2 linked regions of the Neodiprion lecontei genome follow. The protein of the gene in region 1 purifies or fractionates together with the protein of each later gene. This does not show direct contact. Links are inferred from orthologs where the notes say so. Each region holds a gene or a part of one and is shown in the gene's direction. Other genes may lie near its edges.

Evidence for each region.
Region 2: the proteins of elongation factor 1-alpha (region 1) and elongation factor 1-gamma purify together in Homo sapiens (affinity purification with mass spectrometry; 4 studies listed by BioGRID and IntAct, counting the BioPlex papers as one, with this or other methods). This does not show direct contact. The link is inferred for Neodiprion lecontei from reciprocal best matches to the Homo sapiens genes EEF1A2 and EEF1G.

The regions. Positions count from the first base shown.
Region 1 is NC_060263.1:36,483,220-36,491,729, reverse strand, and holds the start of elongation factor 1-alpha, read left to right. Parts: upstream 1-4,367; 5' UTR 4,368-4,492; intron 4,493-8,510. UniProt on the Homo sapiens protein: Translation elongation factor that catalyzes the GTP-dependent binding of aminoacyl-tRNA (aa-tRNA) to the A-site of ribosomes during the elongation phase of protein synthesis.
Region 2 is NC_060265.1:25,262,463-25,270,972, reverse strand, and holds elongation factor 1-gamma, read left to right. Parts: upstream 1-2,425; 5' UTR 2,426-2,471; coding exon 2,472-2,483; intron 2,484-2,609; coding exon 2,610-2,759; intron 2,760-2,932; coding exon 2,933-2,996; intron 2,997-3,377; coding exon 3,378-3,520; intron 3,521-4,039; coding exon 4,040-4,342; intron 4,343-4,586; coding exon 4,587-4,874; intron 4,875-5,022; coding exon 5,023-5,175; intron 5,176-5,377; coding exon 5,378-5,533; 3' UTR 5,534-5,590; downstream 5,591-8,510. Other genes in the region: actin-related protein 10, read left to right, coding at 414-490, 574-726, 833-1,117, 1,197-1,479, 1,590-1,925; probable 39S ribosomal protein L49, mitochondrial, read right to left, coding at 6,149-6,423, 6,648-6,837, 7,489-7,590. UniProt on the Homo sapiens protein: Probably plays a role in anchoring the complex to other cellular components.

The DNA.
Region 1 (8,510 bases):
CTCTGCCGGAGCAGCGTGTGCTTAGTGAGTAAAGACGTCGGGATGCCGAGCGTCCTTTTATAACAAGCTCGTCGATGCCTAAAATCTCCCCCCAAAAAACTTATACTTACGCGAGCTCTCCTAAGCTTCGCGTGCGCCGACGGCGGGGGAATAATTTCGGCCTCTATAGGTGTATTTATAAATCTATATGTACCTACCGTAGCCGCATACCGGCGAAGAAGTCCGCCGATTATTGTCCGCGCGTACCGAGCCAATTTCAGAACTTCGGTATTGGCCGTCCGCATGAATGACGGGAGTGCGATTTTTCACAACTCGATTTAATATCTCACCTCCGGCCGAGTTCGGAAAATTATCAAAGTAGATCGGTAACGTTAAATTACTATCCGTTGACTTTATTGAGGAATTTTTTTCGGGGGGATTGACTTTTCGGATGTCGAAAATACCGAGAGAGCGATAACCTCATCCTTCGTGCGTCTGCTGAGCATATATTTTCTCTTGTTGTTTTATGTCAACGAAAAAAATTAGGGTCCCACCCATCCTACGATCGTAAATGTAAAAATTCGCCAGTCTCTTATATTTTACAAAGGAACTCGTCTTCGCGAAAGCTTTCCGATTTGGAAACTCGGGAATAGCGAATTAACGTAATCAATCTCGTTGAAATATCGGTGCTGATATATTTAAAATTATGTAAGTTACGTTGATGGACATTCCGTTCAAAAAGCCGCAAGTCGACTTATCCGGCTGGTAGATGTAAATTTTTCGACCATCAATCGTCGAACGAAAGAACCAAAATCTATCCAATTTGTTTCTACATTTATTTTCATTTATTTTCATCGGACAAAATGTGACAAGTTTCGCCATAATGAGTGTGAAAAATAGTGAAATTAACGATTAATCGTTTGAGGAGCGATTAAAACGTGGCAATCGGAAAGCTCTGAATTATATTCCGATTGCTTTCGAGACTTGGTAAGAAATTTCAATTTCAGTCGATTCTCGTACGATTCTCTATCTCAACGACATCTCGTCGGGGTTAATTCAGCTTCCGGTTCTTGAAATAATTTCAGGTTTATACGATCGAAGCCTAAACTTTAACCAGCGGTATATTTTTTCTCTTGACATTTATTATAAGCAGCGAAGAAGTGTAGAGTAGAGATTACTCGGTGGTAAAAATCCGTGGATATAGAAAGAGAAATGTTTTCTCAAAATCCAAACTAAGAGAAAGTTAGACCTGCCCTGCAGTTAAAAAAGAGGGATGAGTCGGAGCAACGCATCGGCGCCGAGTTATTCAAGGCTTGCGTTTGAGTATTCGAGGCTAATTTTAAGCGTCAAATCTTTTTCAGGCCTCTCGCTGCATGCCTCGGGATGTAGATTCTGGAATCCGAAAACATTCCGGCCGTATCCAAGGCCGTATTTCGTGTCGAATTGGCCGGCCGTGAGGGCGAAGAATCACTCGAAATTAACGTGTAAAAGATCTTATTCCCGCTCCTCCGTGCAGCGCGAGATCAAGAATCTCCTATACAGGCCGATCCTCTGCGAGTTCCCTCGAATAAACAAATTCCTAGAGTCGGACGGCCGGCGGAAGTACAAAATTAAATCCGGTACAACAAGCCAAAGCCTCAATGAATCGCTACGTGACGTACGAAAGCGGGAGACTCATCTTTACGATGCACTCAACACATTCGCAGAAACTGCCTGTCGCAATCAAGCTCCGCGCTTATTGCCGGCCCCTTTCGGTATTCGGCTAAACATAAACTCGATCCAATTTTCAAACTCTCATGCAGATTCACGCTTAGCTGCGTATTAGATATTTTCTGCAGATAAATCGCGACGCGGATGCCAAGAATCTAAATCACCTCACGTGATGTGGGGACACCCTGCAGGGTTCTGAATGAAGTTCCGAGTCCGATCGCGGAGGAGAAAATTATCTTCTGCACGAATAGCACAAATTCCTCGTCTTGTTTGAGATTAATTGCGTTATCCAGTACGAGCTCGAGTCTGATGATCTTAAATTATCTTCTATTCTTCACGATGGAAAAAAATCATACCGACTGCAAATAATTGTTTACTGAAAGAAGATGGGTACATTGAGAAAAATTTCATTTGTTACAGTAACGAGAAAAATTGAGTAAAACAGGTATCGTTAAAAAAAAACTGTCTGAATATTGTTGGAATTGCGAAAAACGAGGTACGCCTGAGCATTTTGCGATATCGTCGATCCTTTTTCGGTAATTGCAACGCAAAATCAGTTTCCGATGTTTACTCTACTTTTTTAGTTAAATAGGGTGATCCTTACTTAGGGTGTTGATGATTTTTTTTCAGACCACCCCCCAAATCAACTATAAATAAGTCAAAACCAATTTCCTAATTCTTTCACATTTTTATATCAATTCTAACCCGTGCCTGTAAATGGATGGATATCACCATTTAAAATACACCTGTTTCAGATACATTCTCAGCATATAATTTATTGTAAGAGTGACGATGTTCGAATCAGTCTGTAATTGCGAAGATTTAGTGAGTATTAGTGCTACTATCTGAGAAAAAATTCACATCATCGTACCAACCAGTCTCGACGAATTGCAGACCCTAGAAATTTGACTTTTTCCTTTTATTTATAAGAAATGCAATTGTCTATATTACCTGGTGTGATGATGTGAATTTTTTCTAAGATAGTAGCACTAATGCTTATTAGAATCTCACATTCATGGATTTTTTCGAACATTATTACTCTTACAGTAAAATATATACTAAGAACGTGTCCGAAACACGTGTATTTTAAATTGGGAAATCCTTCCTCTTACAGGCACGGGTTACGGTTGATATAAAAATCTGAAAAAAATTGTGAATTGTTTTAGAATTATTTATAGTTGACTTGGTGGGGTGATCCGGAATAAATTCGTCAACATGTTAAACGAGGACCACCCTATTGCACAAGCATTAAATTTTCGCAACAGTTGGAAGAAAATATACCAACAGAGATCGTAATGAGAAAGAATAGCAACGGATACTAGACTTTCCGGTAACAGCTATAAAACTGATTTTCATTTTCTACCTAGAACTATGTTTTTCGATTGTGGTAAAAAATGAAAATAGTTAAGGACTAAAAATTTCTCTAAGTGTACCTGTTATCAATTTTATTAGAAGATAGTTGTAGATCGAGTATTCGGCGAATCATTTTATACTCGTAAACAACAAACACGATCTCTTTGAAAATATAAAAATATAATATACTAGAATTCTGTGAAACAAAAGCCCAAATTGGAAATGGTTAAAAATCTGGTAAAATAATTCGATTTCACTCTATAATAATGGCTCGTTTTCTTTATTTTTACAATATTGTAACCAATCACGCCAACTTGCAGCGAAATCAAATCGGCTCGTTACGTATTCCAATATTACCGTCGAGGCAGTTAAAAGCGATGAATAATGTGTGAAAAAAATTGCCCCGCACGTGTTTTGGAAGCGATAAAAGAGCGCGGAGGCCAGTTTTACAAAGACGGGGAAATCTGGTCCTCTCGCTCGTTGTGATCTCGAAGCATCAAAAGCGGGAGGATACGTCGAGAAGGAATTATCGATGAGAGGTTGACGGGCTATAATTGAGGCGCGCGGGGCGAAGGTTCCGTCCAAAAACAACACGACGACCCTGAATCCTGTTTTGCGTCTCGAGAGGCCGGATTAAAGCTCCGCGCGAACAAACACTGACACAACCGTTGTACCAAAGCTTGGAAAAATATTGAAAAATCGGTTTGTTTCAAGTAGAGAGGCGCAAACGCACGTGTGTGCAACAACATCGAATCCGAGAAAACAAAGTGTTTAACACGATTCGTCCGCGTGTCTCGTACAGCTAACCGGTGCGACGCAAGCTGAATATCAGTTCTGAACGATACTGATCGTATTTTTCCACGTTCAAGCTTCTTCGCGAGTCCGCGATACGTGCGTTACAAATTTACAACGTATCCCTCAAACATCGCGATTCATTCTTCGACTAGGTTTCGTAATCACCGAATTCTTCACGAATATAGATATTCTTAATCGCAGGCTGAAAGGGGTGGAAAAACCCGGACGATCCCCACTCCGGGAAAAGTTTATTGATATGCCAGAACTGGCACATATTTCAGAGAATAGTTTTCTCCGGTGATAACGCGGCGCAATTTAGTGCCAGGTTAATTTCATCGCCGTGATTCGGATTTCTGTAAAGTACTTGGATCGTAATTTAAAAAATTTGAACGCAATTACACGGTTGGAAAAAAAATTCTCCAGCTGGTCCACTAAAATTTTTCGGTTCGTTTAACCGTTTCATAATGTGTTACTGTTCGAAAAATAAAGTACAACGTGTGAATTAAATGTTGAAAATGACAACAATTTGTGTCATATTTACCAACAGAAATTTAAGAAATAACTGAAATATAAAATGAACCTGCTGGGACATTGTGTGTAGTTAAATTTTTCTAACAGTGTACCGATTGCGTAACGCAATGGTCATAGTTTTGAGGTAAAAAATGTATTATTATTATTATTATTATGTATAATATTGCAGATATATTATTTGGCAAAAAGTTTGGCTGCAATACCTCTGGCATTCCGAATGCTTAACTTATATATATTATAGTGATAAATTCGAGGACCTATATAAGAATTTTCCATGTAGTCTCGGGCGACCATCGGGGGGTAAAAAAAGCGATCAAAGGGGGGGGGGGGGGGGGTAAAAAAAGGTCTGGATCACGATCCGCTAAGCCGTTTAGCGTCGCATAATAACACAATTAGAAAATCGACTGTGCTTCAATAATTTAACGGTCATCACGAATTTCGAGTCTAGGTGCCAGATGTCAAATGTTGATTTCTTCCACGTAACTAATGAAAAAAGAAATAGCATTATTCGTAGATAAGGTTTGCTTTTTATTTCGACGTGCCGCTACCTGCTGCTTATACTATTGATCAAAAACTTCGAGACTTGTTTATCAGCGTAAAAGAGAAAAAGAATTATGATAGATGAAGATGTCGGTTATTATTAGATGTATAGAATCAGAATTTATTCATTGAAAAATGAAAATGAGAGGGAATTCTTTTTTTCTCTAGTATATTATTATTATTGATATGTTGGGGCGGTTTTTATATCGAACTTGGTGTATATTTCCAATTGCAAACTTCACAAACCTTGCGAGAGTGTTCAGATTTTCATATAGATATATCTCTGCTTTTGAGGATATTTCTATATAATTATTTAGAAACAATTTAGAGGACTTCCCGGTAGAATTTCGAAAAAGTCGAAAACACGGACCACCCTAGGATATGTATACGTCATATGTGTGAATATATATATGTTATACACATGTGCAATATTAGAATTTTTGCGTCGTCACCGATTGCCGGTGTTCCGACGATGACGTAAGACGCTACACACGCACATAAGCGACAGACGCTGACAATGAGCGTTGGCAAAAAAAAATTAGAGAAGCAGAATTCTGTAGAAACATTACCTAACACAACAATATATATATATATATATATATATATATACATATACATACATATAGGTATACATATATTATGTATTCACGTATGCTTATACACATATAATTATATCTGTATATTATCGTGGCTCTAAATTTCAACGTGTTTTGTATAAATAATTCCAGGGCGATCGGTCCGCGGCTACTCGACGTCCGCCGAGATGAAAAATTCATTGATGGTCGATACGCAACGTCAAAATCCGCGAGCGTCGACCGGATCCTCGCGACCCACGCGAATCAGACGTCGCCGTCGGCTGTCAACGACGTCGTTGTAATATGAAAACAAAAAAAAAAAACAAAACAAAAAAGAAAAGGGAGTAAAAATAATCTTCCGGCACCCTAACGACCGCGGACGATCTAATTTTGGAGAATTTTTTATTTTTTTTTCTCTTTTCCTTCAATTTTTCCGTCTTCTTTCTACCTGTTTTTATTTTTCCCTCCCTAATCTCTTGTTTTCTCGTTAGATCGTTGACGCGTAACAACTTGGCAGATATGGATGTCGCACGTCACGTCCATGCAATAACGCTGAAATCAAATCTGCGTTTATATACGATGAGGAAAATTTCATTCGTACAGTTAACGGGAAATTGTAGAAAAGTTGGTTGGTATAGTTGCAACAACGGTTTGGATATTTTTTTCAATTTTACTAGAAAATGTAGTACAAGTAACGTGTTTGGTGTAATTGTAATTGCCGATAATATATTTTCTGGTTATTGGAATGTTAAATCTGGTCGTTTAATTTACTACATTTTTTCACGACAAGATACGTTACAAAATAACTGGATTTTTTTTTTTTCTACGGATACAAAACTCACTTTACTTTTGTGCCCAGAACTCATGTTATTCGATTATTGTAATGAACGAAAATAGTTGAGAACCGTATATTAAACACAATTCTTTCTCATTACGATCACTGTTGCTATATTTTTTCGTAACCGTTACGAAAGTTTAACGCTTATGCAACGATAAATTGACGTCAAAGCCTTGTTTAACTAAAAAAGTAGAGTAAACCTCACAAACTGATTTTGCGTTGCAATTACCAAAAAAGGATCGAAAATACCTCGTTTTTCGTAATTCCAACAATATTCAAACAGTGTTTTTTCAACGATACCCGTTTTACTGAATTTTTCTAGTTAATACAAAAACGAAATTTTTCTCGGTGTGTGTTCGCGTGGATGAGTCGACGGGACAATGAAACAGGTGCGGCGGAGTTGGCAAGCTCGGTTGCTGGGCTGGCTGAGTAGAATTTTGAAGTAATTAGGCGAGACCGCAGATCTAGTCAGTGGGGTGAATTTCGCAAGGCGGAATTCTATACTGACTCATCATAAACCACGGAGATGACATTCTGGCGTGTGTGACTATTGCCACGATTTTAGAAGGTATCTCGATCTTCAAAGCGGCGGGAAAACCACGTGCCACGCACACATCCCAAGTTTTTTTATCCACTCATGTAAAGATTTCCCGCACACGCGAGAAGCCGTGCAGTTTCAAACGTTTTGCGAACGTCACGCGCACGGAGTAACTAGTGCGTAGAAAGGAACATCACAGGGTGAGTATGGACCATTTTTAGGCGAACAGTGTCCGTAATTTACGAGGGTTGCGGATTATTTATAACAAATACGCGTCGACGTCGGTTTCTAGAAATTACTCACGCCAAAAATCGGTATTGTTTGTTCATCAATTTTATCACACGAGAGTATTTGCACGATAAGTTTTTATCGAATAATTGTGTTCGAAAGCTGTGATGAAATTAACTTTCGGAATACGAGAATAGAAATTAACGGAATCGTAAACGAGAGCTTCGTTTTATCGATGGTTCATTTTTGATCGTTACAAAATTGTTTGAAATCTATTAGATTTGTTCGATTTCACTTGACGACTCAATTTATTCAATAAGTTATCGTCTACTAAGCACGAACGAATCTGGATACTAGATTTTTAACTGTTTTGAAGCGATCTTAAATGAATTATCGATATCTAAGCTTTTGTTCACAATTTCACAATCAGTTTTTTCAACATTCTTATCGTCGAAGAGATCTTCGGAGCCTGCGAATACAATAGTTCGTCAAATACTGGTTTCACGACAATCTCGTTACAAAATGAGCAAAAAGTATTAATTTTTGGCCAACCAACCACCTGATTCATCGTCAGCCAAATTAAGCCCTGTGCACACGGTTCATTTTTTCACGCCGTTTCAACGACTCGAAATATCCATTGCTGCGCACTTCGCTTCTTCGTAGCTTCCTTATCGGTTGACGCAGTTTCTATTTCTTACTAGCCGACGCTGCGTCTGTAAGAGCACCAAATTTTTCGTAAGATACAGCGCAGAATTTATATTCGACAATTACCAATCTCGCAAGTATTGGATTAAGATTCCATTAAGAATGAGACTTTTGACGGTTTCGTTGTACGTAGATTTTAATCAGTTGGCATTAGATATTACGAGATGAAAGAATTCACGCAACCTTATTTTTTTATCTCCGTACATTCAGTGTCGACCGATTTATAAACAGGAAATCGCAAGAATTCAATGAAAAAAGAGAAAGAGCGGATGAAAGACGTTATGCGAAGCTAACTGAACGGACGAAGAAGAACACGAGGTTGGAATGGCTGTGATCTCGAAGGTGAAGAACGCGATATTTTTGGGGCCACAGGTTCGACATAGAAACACATTTGTCGAGGTAGCGCAAACTCGTGTTATACAACAAGATCAATCTTCTCTTCAGCGTCGTACCTGCAGCTGAGAGAAAAGCTACAAATCTTCTCATTTGTGACCGGGTGCAGTTTCTTTCATGCGCACAAATATGCGTTAAAATGCAAAATGACAAAATGTCAAAAACGTCCGAATTATAGTCGTAAAAATCATTAATTCACTATTTTTCCAAAAATTCGACCTCACACTGAGAAAAATTTCATTTGTCATAGTAACTAACAAAATTCGTCTGTCAAATAAATACCTTTTTTTCATCGCCCGATATCACCATATTTTTTTTTTCTCAC
Region 2 (8,510 bases), on another chromosome or scaffold:
TGTTGAATCAGGTCATCAAATTTAATAGCGAATACAGAGAGGTTTCTCTTGGCGAATACACGTGTCGTATCGTTCACCGATTCTACAACCGTGTTTTGTCGTACTTGTGGTCAATTTCGAGGGTTGCCGTATACTTAAATACATTATAAGTAACGTCGTGGTAACTGCTTGGTAATCTTTACCTCAAAAGTTAACGGCAGCTTCGCGCTGCTGGCTGCCGCGGCATTTCGTTGCCCGTGAAAATCTAGCCTAAAACTGCGCAGTCTATCTGTATTTAGTCTATGCTCTCATGTAGTGCTTACAATGACAGTTCTGCTTAACCTATGATTTTTAACCTCTAATGGAATCTAGATCTGGAAAAATTTGCTTCAGGTCATAATCAGATTAATTTTGACCTAAGAAAAAAGGATAAAATGTCGTTGTACGAGGGTATCAGGTTAATTTCGGACAAGCAAACCGTTGTTTTTGACATTGGAAGCGCATATACTAAGTGAGTGTACAAAAGATAAGTAATCATTAATTAGTGAATTCTTACCAAGCTTGAGACGATACTTAGATTCATTACATCACCAGATATGGATATGCTGGAGAGTCGGTACCTCGCGGCATAATAAAAACTGAAGTGAAATGTCCAGAATCTGGGAAAATAAGGAAGGTATTCTCTTACGAGGATTCACAGGACTTGTATCAGCTTCTAGTCGAATTCATTCACTTACTCTTCTTCAGGTAATTTTAAAATCATTATACACAATTTACAAATTATATGATTGGACGAATTCAAAAAAAAAATCTCGATGGGACCAGTACTGATGCAATTTGTTTCAATTTATAGGCACGTTGTTGTCAGTCCCAAAGATATAAAAGTAATTATTGTTGAGTCTATATTGACTCCAACAGAATTTCGAGATACTTTGGCTAAAGTATTTTTCCGACACTTTGAAATTGGTTCCTTGATGCTTGCACCTTCCCACTTGGTTGCTGTTAGTACTTTGGGAGTTTCTACAGCATTGGTATTAGACGTTGGATATAAAGAAGCAACGTTGATTCCGATTTACGAAGGTGTGCCAGTTCTCAAGGCATGGCAGGCCTTGCCACTGGCAGGACACGCGGTCCATGAGTAAATTGAATATTTCAGATTTTTCTAATCTGCTTAAACGATGAGCATCGTATTCAATATTAGTATCTGTTGCTTACAGGTGCATAAAGAAAGAATTGAAAACCGTCCTGCCTAACGACGGCAGTGACGTTGAGAAAACAATTGAAGATATCAAAGTTAGAACCTGCTTTGTTACCACAATAGAGCGGTCTCTCAAATTGCAAACTGATGAACCACCAATTGCACCTCCATCAGTTAAATATCCTGGAGTCAAAACTATAACTGTACCCGGATCAGTACGTGAAAAAGCTTTCGAATTATTGTGGGAGCGAGACAATGACAATTTGAGTGTACCAACCATGATACTAGATGCTATAGTGAAGGTAACCATTATGTACTAATAATGTGAATATTAGATTGATTAATTTTATTAGATTTCTTTCCAAAAATGTGACCGCTTACCAATTATTCTGTATTTTATTGTTCATTGCAGTGCCCTGTAGACATGAGACATCCGCTTGCTGAAAATATTCTGCTGATTGGAGGAACGACAATGGCAAAAGGATTTTTGCCACGTTTGAAATCTGAACTTTTGACATTACTGAAGAGTAACTTATATTCTGAGAAATTAAAAATAAGTACAGTCAAGTTTCATAAGGCACCAAGCAAAGCTAATTACACAGCATGGCTTGGTGGTGCTATATTTGGTATTGCAGATTTGCCACTACGTTGTTTGACGAAAGAAAATTACCTCATGTCAAACAGAGTCCCAGATTGGGCAAGCTTAATTGATAATCAGAAATCAGACTCATTGATAAATAGTATGTAAACTATTATGTCTACCTAATTCGTAAAAAAATTAACCTGATACCTAATGTTCTTATAAAGTTCCAATTTTCAACAGTGAGGTAGTAACCCAATTAAAAATCGTTACTCAAAATTAATGTTTTTTTTTTTTTTCTTGCATAGAATTTACTTTATTCTATAATGTCACAAAACGGTTTAAAATGATATGTTGGAACGAGATGGTCTTATTTTTAGCAGTCACGAGGAACTTCAGATGCCTGTAATGTAAAATATATTTAATAATTTATAATTCGTATAATAAAGAAATTGTAAGAATAAAAAAAATCGATCACATTCATACTTTGTATCAAACTAATTTCATCTAATTTTGGTTCGACCTAGTTATATATGTTTTATTGCGGAGAAATGTGTACGTGCACCCACTGAGATTTGTGATATTTCCCGTCGCCGGGTGACAATTCGAGAAATAGTGAAAAAAAAGAACAGCTGTGAAGGAGAAAGGCGCGCAGGCGCTTCGTCATGAGCCGGCTTTCGATCTCTAGACTTCCTCTTCCTGTAGCTCGGCACAATGGCGTCCGGAGTAAGTGTTTTTACGCGAAATATTCTTCGTAAAACATCACCGTCTTGTTCGACGAATCGGTCACGTGAATGCGTGCAATATGACAATTAAACATCATACATTTATATGGCGTGTAAATTTTTTTAGACCCTGTACACGTACCCAGAGAACTTCAGGGCCTACAAGGCGCTGATCGCAGCCCAATATTCCGGTGCTAAGGTTAAAATTGCCGAAGATTTCATTTTCGGCGAAACCAATAAGAGCGATGCCTTCCTGAAAAAATTTCCTCTTGGAAAGGTGAGATTAATTTCTATTTTGGTTACATTTTTTTTATACGTCTATCACTGAAATATCATCAGTCATCGATGGATTCTGTCTTAAGTCTTATCGCCGTGGTATGCTGACACCGCTTTATGTCACGCATATTTTACTGCCGACGTGTTTTTAATAACGCCGAATGTTTGTTGAAGGTTCCAGCTTTCGAGACTGCTGATGGCAAATATATCACCGAAAGCAATGCAATTGCTTACTATGGTATGCATAATCAACATTTTTACCCTCAGCTAAAAATATTTTTTCTCTTTATTGTTTTCATTCGTTGTTGTTTTTTTTTTTATCTTTTTCCTTTTTAATTAATTTTTACAATTCAAGAATAACATATTATACGTTGTATGCATTCTACCTCTTAATTAATTTCAATACGTGATATTTATTTAAATATTTGTCTTCTGCTTCAATTTCACATCAGTATTGTGAGCTTGATGCTGAATTATACATATACTTTGGGTGACAGATAGGTATGAAATTTTCACGTTTTATGACATACAATTTCCGAAACAACTGGTTTTAATTTCTATCATTTATTGTTTTTGCCGATCTCTTTGCCAAAAGTTTGTGCTATTTTTGTGTTTCTAGTTGCCAATGAGCAGCTGAGAGGCAAAACTGACATTGAGAGAGCAGAAATTGTGCAATGGTTTGGATTTGCCGATTCGGAGATCCTTCCTGCCAGCTGTGCTTGGGTTTTCCCATTATTAGGCCTCATGCAATACAACAAACAGGTATGAAATTCTTGTCCACCGTAAAACAAAATTTTCTTATTTTACAAAGAATTCAATGTTCATGATATTTTATTACAGTTTAGATTTGGCTAAAGTTGTTCTGCAAAACTGCATAAACATGAGAAATCCCATCATGGCATTAGTTTGACATTTATCACATCGCCTTTGTTCAAAGACGAGCCTGAATGTTTTAAATTCAAGTTTCGTAACACGAGAAGGCAGATGAATCTATGCTGAATATTCAAACGCATCTGTCATTCTTTTATACATTTGCGTACCAATATTGCTGACATTGAAACAAATAATTAGCTACCTTACTATTGCGATGAATGTTTTCATATGTTCTTCAGCTTGCATAATACGTTTAACGTTTTACTTCTCTTATCCCCAAAAAAAAAAAAAAAAAAAAAAAATTAAATAATATCAAAACTATCCAGTGTTTTAAACATTGTACAGGTACTGGGTGTATCAGAGAACATATTAGCAAGGATTTTGCAATTTTCGTAATTAATCTTTCAGACTATAGAACATGCCAAGGACGATGTTAAGAAAGCTTTGACAGCTTTGAATTCACATCTATTAACAAGGACGTACTTGGTTGGGGAACGACTTACTTTGGCAGATATTAGTGTTGCTACAACTCTACTGCATTTATATCAGTATATTTTGGAACCGAGTTTACGCAAGCCGTATCAAAATGTGAACAGATGGTTCCAAACTGTTATATATCAGCCAGAGTCCATCAATGTAATCGGTGCTTTTAAACTGGCTGACAAAACTCTTGAATATGATCCCAAGAAGTTTGCTGACGTTCAAGAAAAAGTGAGCAAAAAATATAGATATACAGTATTGTTCATGTGAAATACCATTTATTTATAAAATACTACCTTATTCCAAAATATGTTGCATGGTACTATGAACTTGTGGCTTTAGTCAGCAGCTAGTAGTAATTTCGAAGTATTTTATCATCAATAATTAGCAGTCAAAGTATTAAATAACCGTTCATCTTCAGTTTGTCATATACCGATCTACTACTGAACAGCTTTCAAATATTATGAATTTTTAGTCATCTGCAAAGAAAGAAAAGAAGGAAAAACGAAAGGAACAGAAAAAGGAACCTAAAGAACCTCGCGAGGCAGATGTAGATTTAGCTGATGAAATAGCAGCTGCTGAACCCAAATCTAAGGATCCATTTGACACAATGCCTAAAGGTACTTTTGATATGGATAGTTTCAAGCGTTGTTACTCCAATGAAGAAGAGACTGTCTCCATTCCTTTCTTCTGGAAAGAATTTGATCCTGAACATTACAGCATCTGGTTTGGAGAATACAAATACCCTGAAGAGTTGACAAAGGTAAACTCGTTATACTGAATTCTCTGCCGGGATTTGAATTTCATTCAGTTTTTCATGTAGCAAGAATATTTTTGGAGATATTATGAATTACCTACGGTTAAAATATAATCATATTTAAGATTGTATTCGTTAATCTTACATTGTCCAGGTGTTCATGTCTTGCAATCTCATTGGTGGCATGTATCAACGACTTGACAAAATGCGGAAAGCTGCTTTTGCCAGTGTTTGTCTTTTTGGAGAAGACAACAACAGCACAATCAGTGGAATTTGGGTATGGCGTGGACAGGATTTGGCATTTACGGTGAGTGTATATATGAATTTCTTACAAATTGAACTTTCTGTACCATGTCGAAAACATTTGGTTGTGGATATTGTGAGCCATGGTCACTTATTTAGCATCCTTTGGGGGATATATTGGATTTTATATTAATCGCCAAGTGGCTTATATAATGTTGAATGTTTCTACAGTAAATTAATTTTCCATACAATTTGTTTTACTGTAGCTAAGCCCCGATTGGCAGATAGATTACGAATCGTATAAATGGGAAAAATTGGACCCAAACAAGGATGAAACTAAAGCACTGGTGAAGCAGTACTTCAGTTGGACTGGTACTGACAAACAGGGGCGCAAGTTTAACCAGGGAAAAATCTTCAAATAAAGCTCCGAAAAATACTAATTTACACGAAACAAATAATAAAGAATGAATAAAAATAAATTGCAGCTACAAGATTTTCGATGTAAAACCTCCACGATTCCTCTACAGTACTATATGTCTATTAACATCCCAGCTTGAAAATTATTTACGTGCATATTCCAGTTTACTGCTATGTGATTACTTTGAAATATGGGCAATTGTTGAATCCCTCAAGCAATATAATTTTATACGTCATAAAATTTTACTGTTGACAAATAACAATTGACAACCTCGTTTTATTTGTAATTTAAAGAATTCGTATGCTCTATTTCATTTGTTATTAATAGAAATAAATACTAACTGTAATATTTGCACAATAATATGAATTTTGATTATTGCCCTTTACTTTAGTACTTTTATGGCTGCAAAACTCATCTGACATTTCCCCGTCATGTTTGACTTTGTTTTTGAAGATACTAAAAAAACATTGGTCTACAAAAATAACGTGAAACACTACTAAAGCCATAAGTAGTTAAATCCAAAATAGGCATCATGTAATTATCAATAACAATAATAGTGTTTATTCAGCTGATTAAATATACAACAGGTTGTGTACATCTATTACCTAACTATTTAATTTTAAAGGCCTTTTGTAGTCAGCCATTCTTTAATGCGGATGACTTGGTCCCCTTTAAATTTTAATATGCCTGCAACTTCGTGAATTTGGGTACCAATTGATTTTCCAGTGGTTTCTTCCAAGTGTTTTTTCAGCTCAGCTTCGAGGAGCCATATATCTCCTTCAATTTTACGAAGGATTGTTATTCTGCGCATACCTCGAAACGATCGTTGAAGGTAAACTGGTTGTAAGTAGTTCCTGGTTCTGCTAACGAAATATGGTAGCTTCAGAGCATCCTCTGTGGAAAAATGAAGTTAACAAGACTGTATGATTTTTATTGTACAATATTGGCGAATTGCTTTAACAGTAGCATTTGAACAAATGTAGAAAATGAATTAGTATTTATGTATTTCAAGTTTATAAATTAATTCTTTCGAATTTGTTTCCCAGTAAACATGTCGTGAGTAGTAATTATATCATAAAATTGCAGAATTTAATTATGGAAATGTGATTTCTTCTGACCAGATTGAGGCGCCCAGCCTGATGGATACTGCTTGGCTGTAGATGTCGGAGCAGGCGGTACAGTTTTTGGCGTCAGGAGTCGTTCCACATATAGCCATTCTTGCGGATCTTTTGAAATTTCAAAATCTGTGTACTGAGACGGATCCCCTACCTGTGGAGAGCTTTTGAAAGAGCTATACCTTTCTTGAATCTGTAAAATGATTTAAGTAAAATTTTTCCGTACGTCATGAACAAAAGTACATCAAATTTCAATCGATGCTCATTAAAGAAAAATGAATCACTTAATTTTGTTTCTAGATATTTTAGATCGCAAAGGATCAATTAGTCTTTTTCCTTTCTTTAGTTACTTTTTGCTTATTAATATTATGACGTTTATACAAATCTATTTAAAAAGAGCAACGATGAAGGCAGGAGTACTGTTTGGAAACCAAATTAACTGAATACAAGGCGTACAGAATGGCAAAGAAAAAAAGACAGCGGTATTCAAAGTCTCAAAGTATCCTCAGACACAAGGACAAACCGTGTTGTGCTTTTTTAGAAATGAAAAAATATCGACATTTAGAAAGATCAGAAGCTGATTCATTGCCAATCAAAGATTATTTTGAGGTTATACTATATTGCTAAAAGCGTAAAGCACGGTTACTTATGATGGAAATATATATTAATATGATAATAATGAAAAAGTGATGAAAATTTCGTAAAATGACACAAGTAGTAGAAGATAAAGGTTCGTCGTCAGGCCCTTCCCACGAGCTACGTGGAAACGGAATTTTAGAATATTCAGAGGAACGATACCACGTCCCGAGAGTCAAAATCAAAGCACGAAAAGTTAGTCAAGTACCTTGCAATTGTTGTAAACTGTATTTTTCGTTAGATTGCTAGCCAAGGTCTTTGAAAAAATATGTGAAAAGCAGGGTCTTGCGAAAATTCTAAGGGCAGCCATTTTAACTTCGGTAAATAAGGGTCGGTGGCCGCCATTAATGTGTATGGGCGCGTCTCCTGTTCGTTCCTGAAATTCTACCGTAAATCGAAGCGTCGGGAGTGTTTTTTGTAAAATTGGCGGATCCGTTAGTAAGTTCCTATCGTGAATAAATTAGCACGGTATAACAACATATCGTGTAAGCGTCGTTATTAGCTTTAATATTGTTAAATAAAGCAGGCAAAGTTAGCGCAAATGTAGTATATGACTTAGGAGACTTAATCATCTTGTCGTCAGATGGTGTTAGCGTGAAAGCAGTAGGACAGCGTACAGACACCCTGAAACGGGATCGTGTTTTTCTCAGTGTAATATTTTCCATTTTGCCGAAAAAACGACGCACTTTCGGGACAATTTTTGGCCCCAGAGGTGAGTTATCGTTATCCTTATTCTATTGAGTACGAAAATTCCCACTCCGGTGGCTTCAAACTCTTGTAATAAGTCGTACAAGTATCAAGTCAGTGCCGACCTTTTGTTTATCCATGATAATTTTTTCGCAAACATTTCTTCCGAGATTTTCACAATTATCGTCAAGTCACTGTTCAATTTTCAATCTCAGAAGTTAATATGCCTTCCTCGCTTAGTTTTGAGACAAAAATTCACACCGTTCGAGCTGCCTAACCGGAGATATCGGTAAAAATATCATCGGCATTTCCCTGGCTGAGAAGAGGTTCACGATGTATCCGTGTAAATGCAAAGTTTGTCACGTAATTTTTCTGACGCCAGGGCCGCATCAATTAACCCCTGAACAATAATTTTCCCTTACTGTTTCGAATATTGCAGCGTAACAATGCAGGTTACTTGTAGAATTTTTGTACATTCAGATGTTTTATTGTTATAATTTTTATTCCCTGTTCGTAAAGTCTCCGTTCATTCCGCATTTTCGT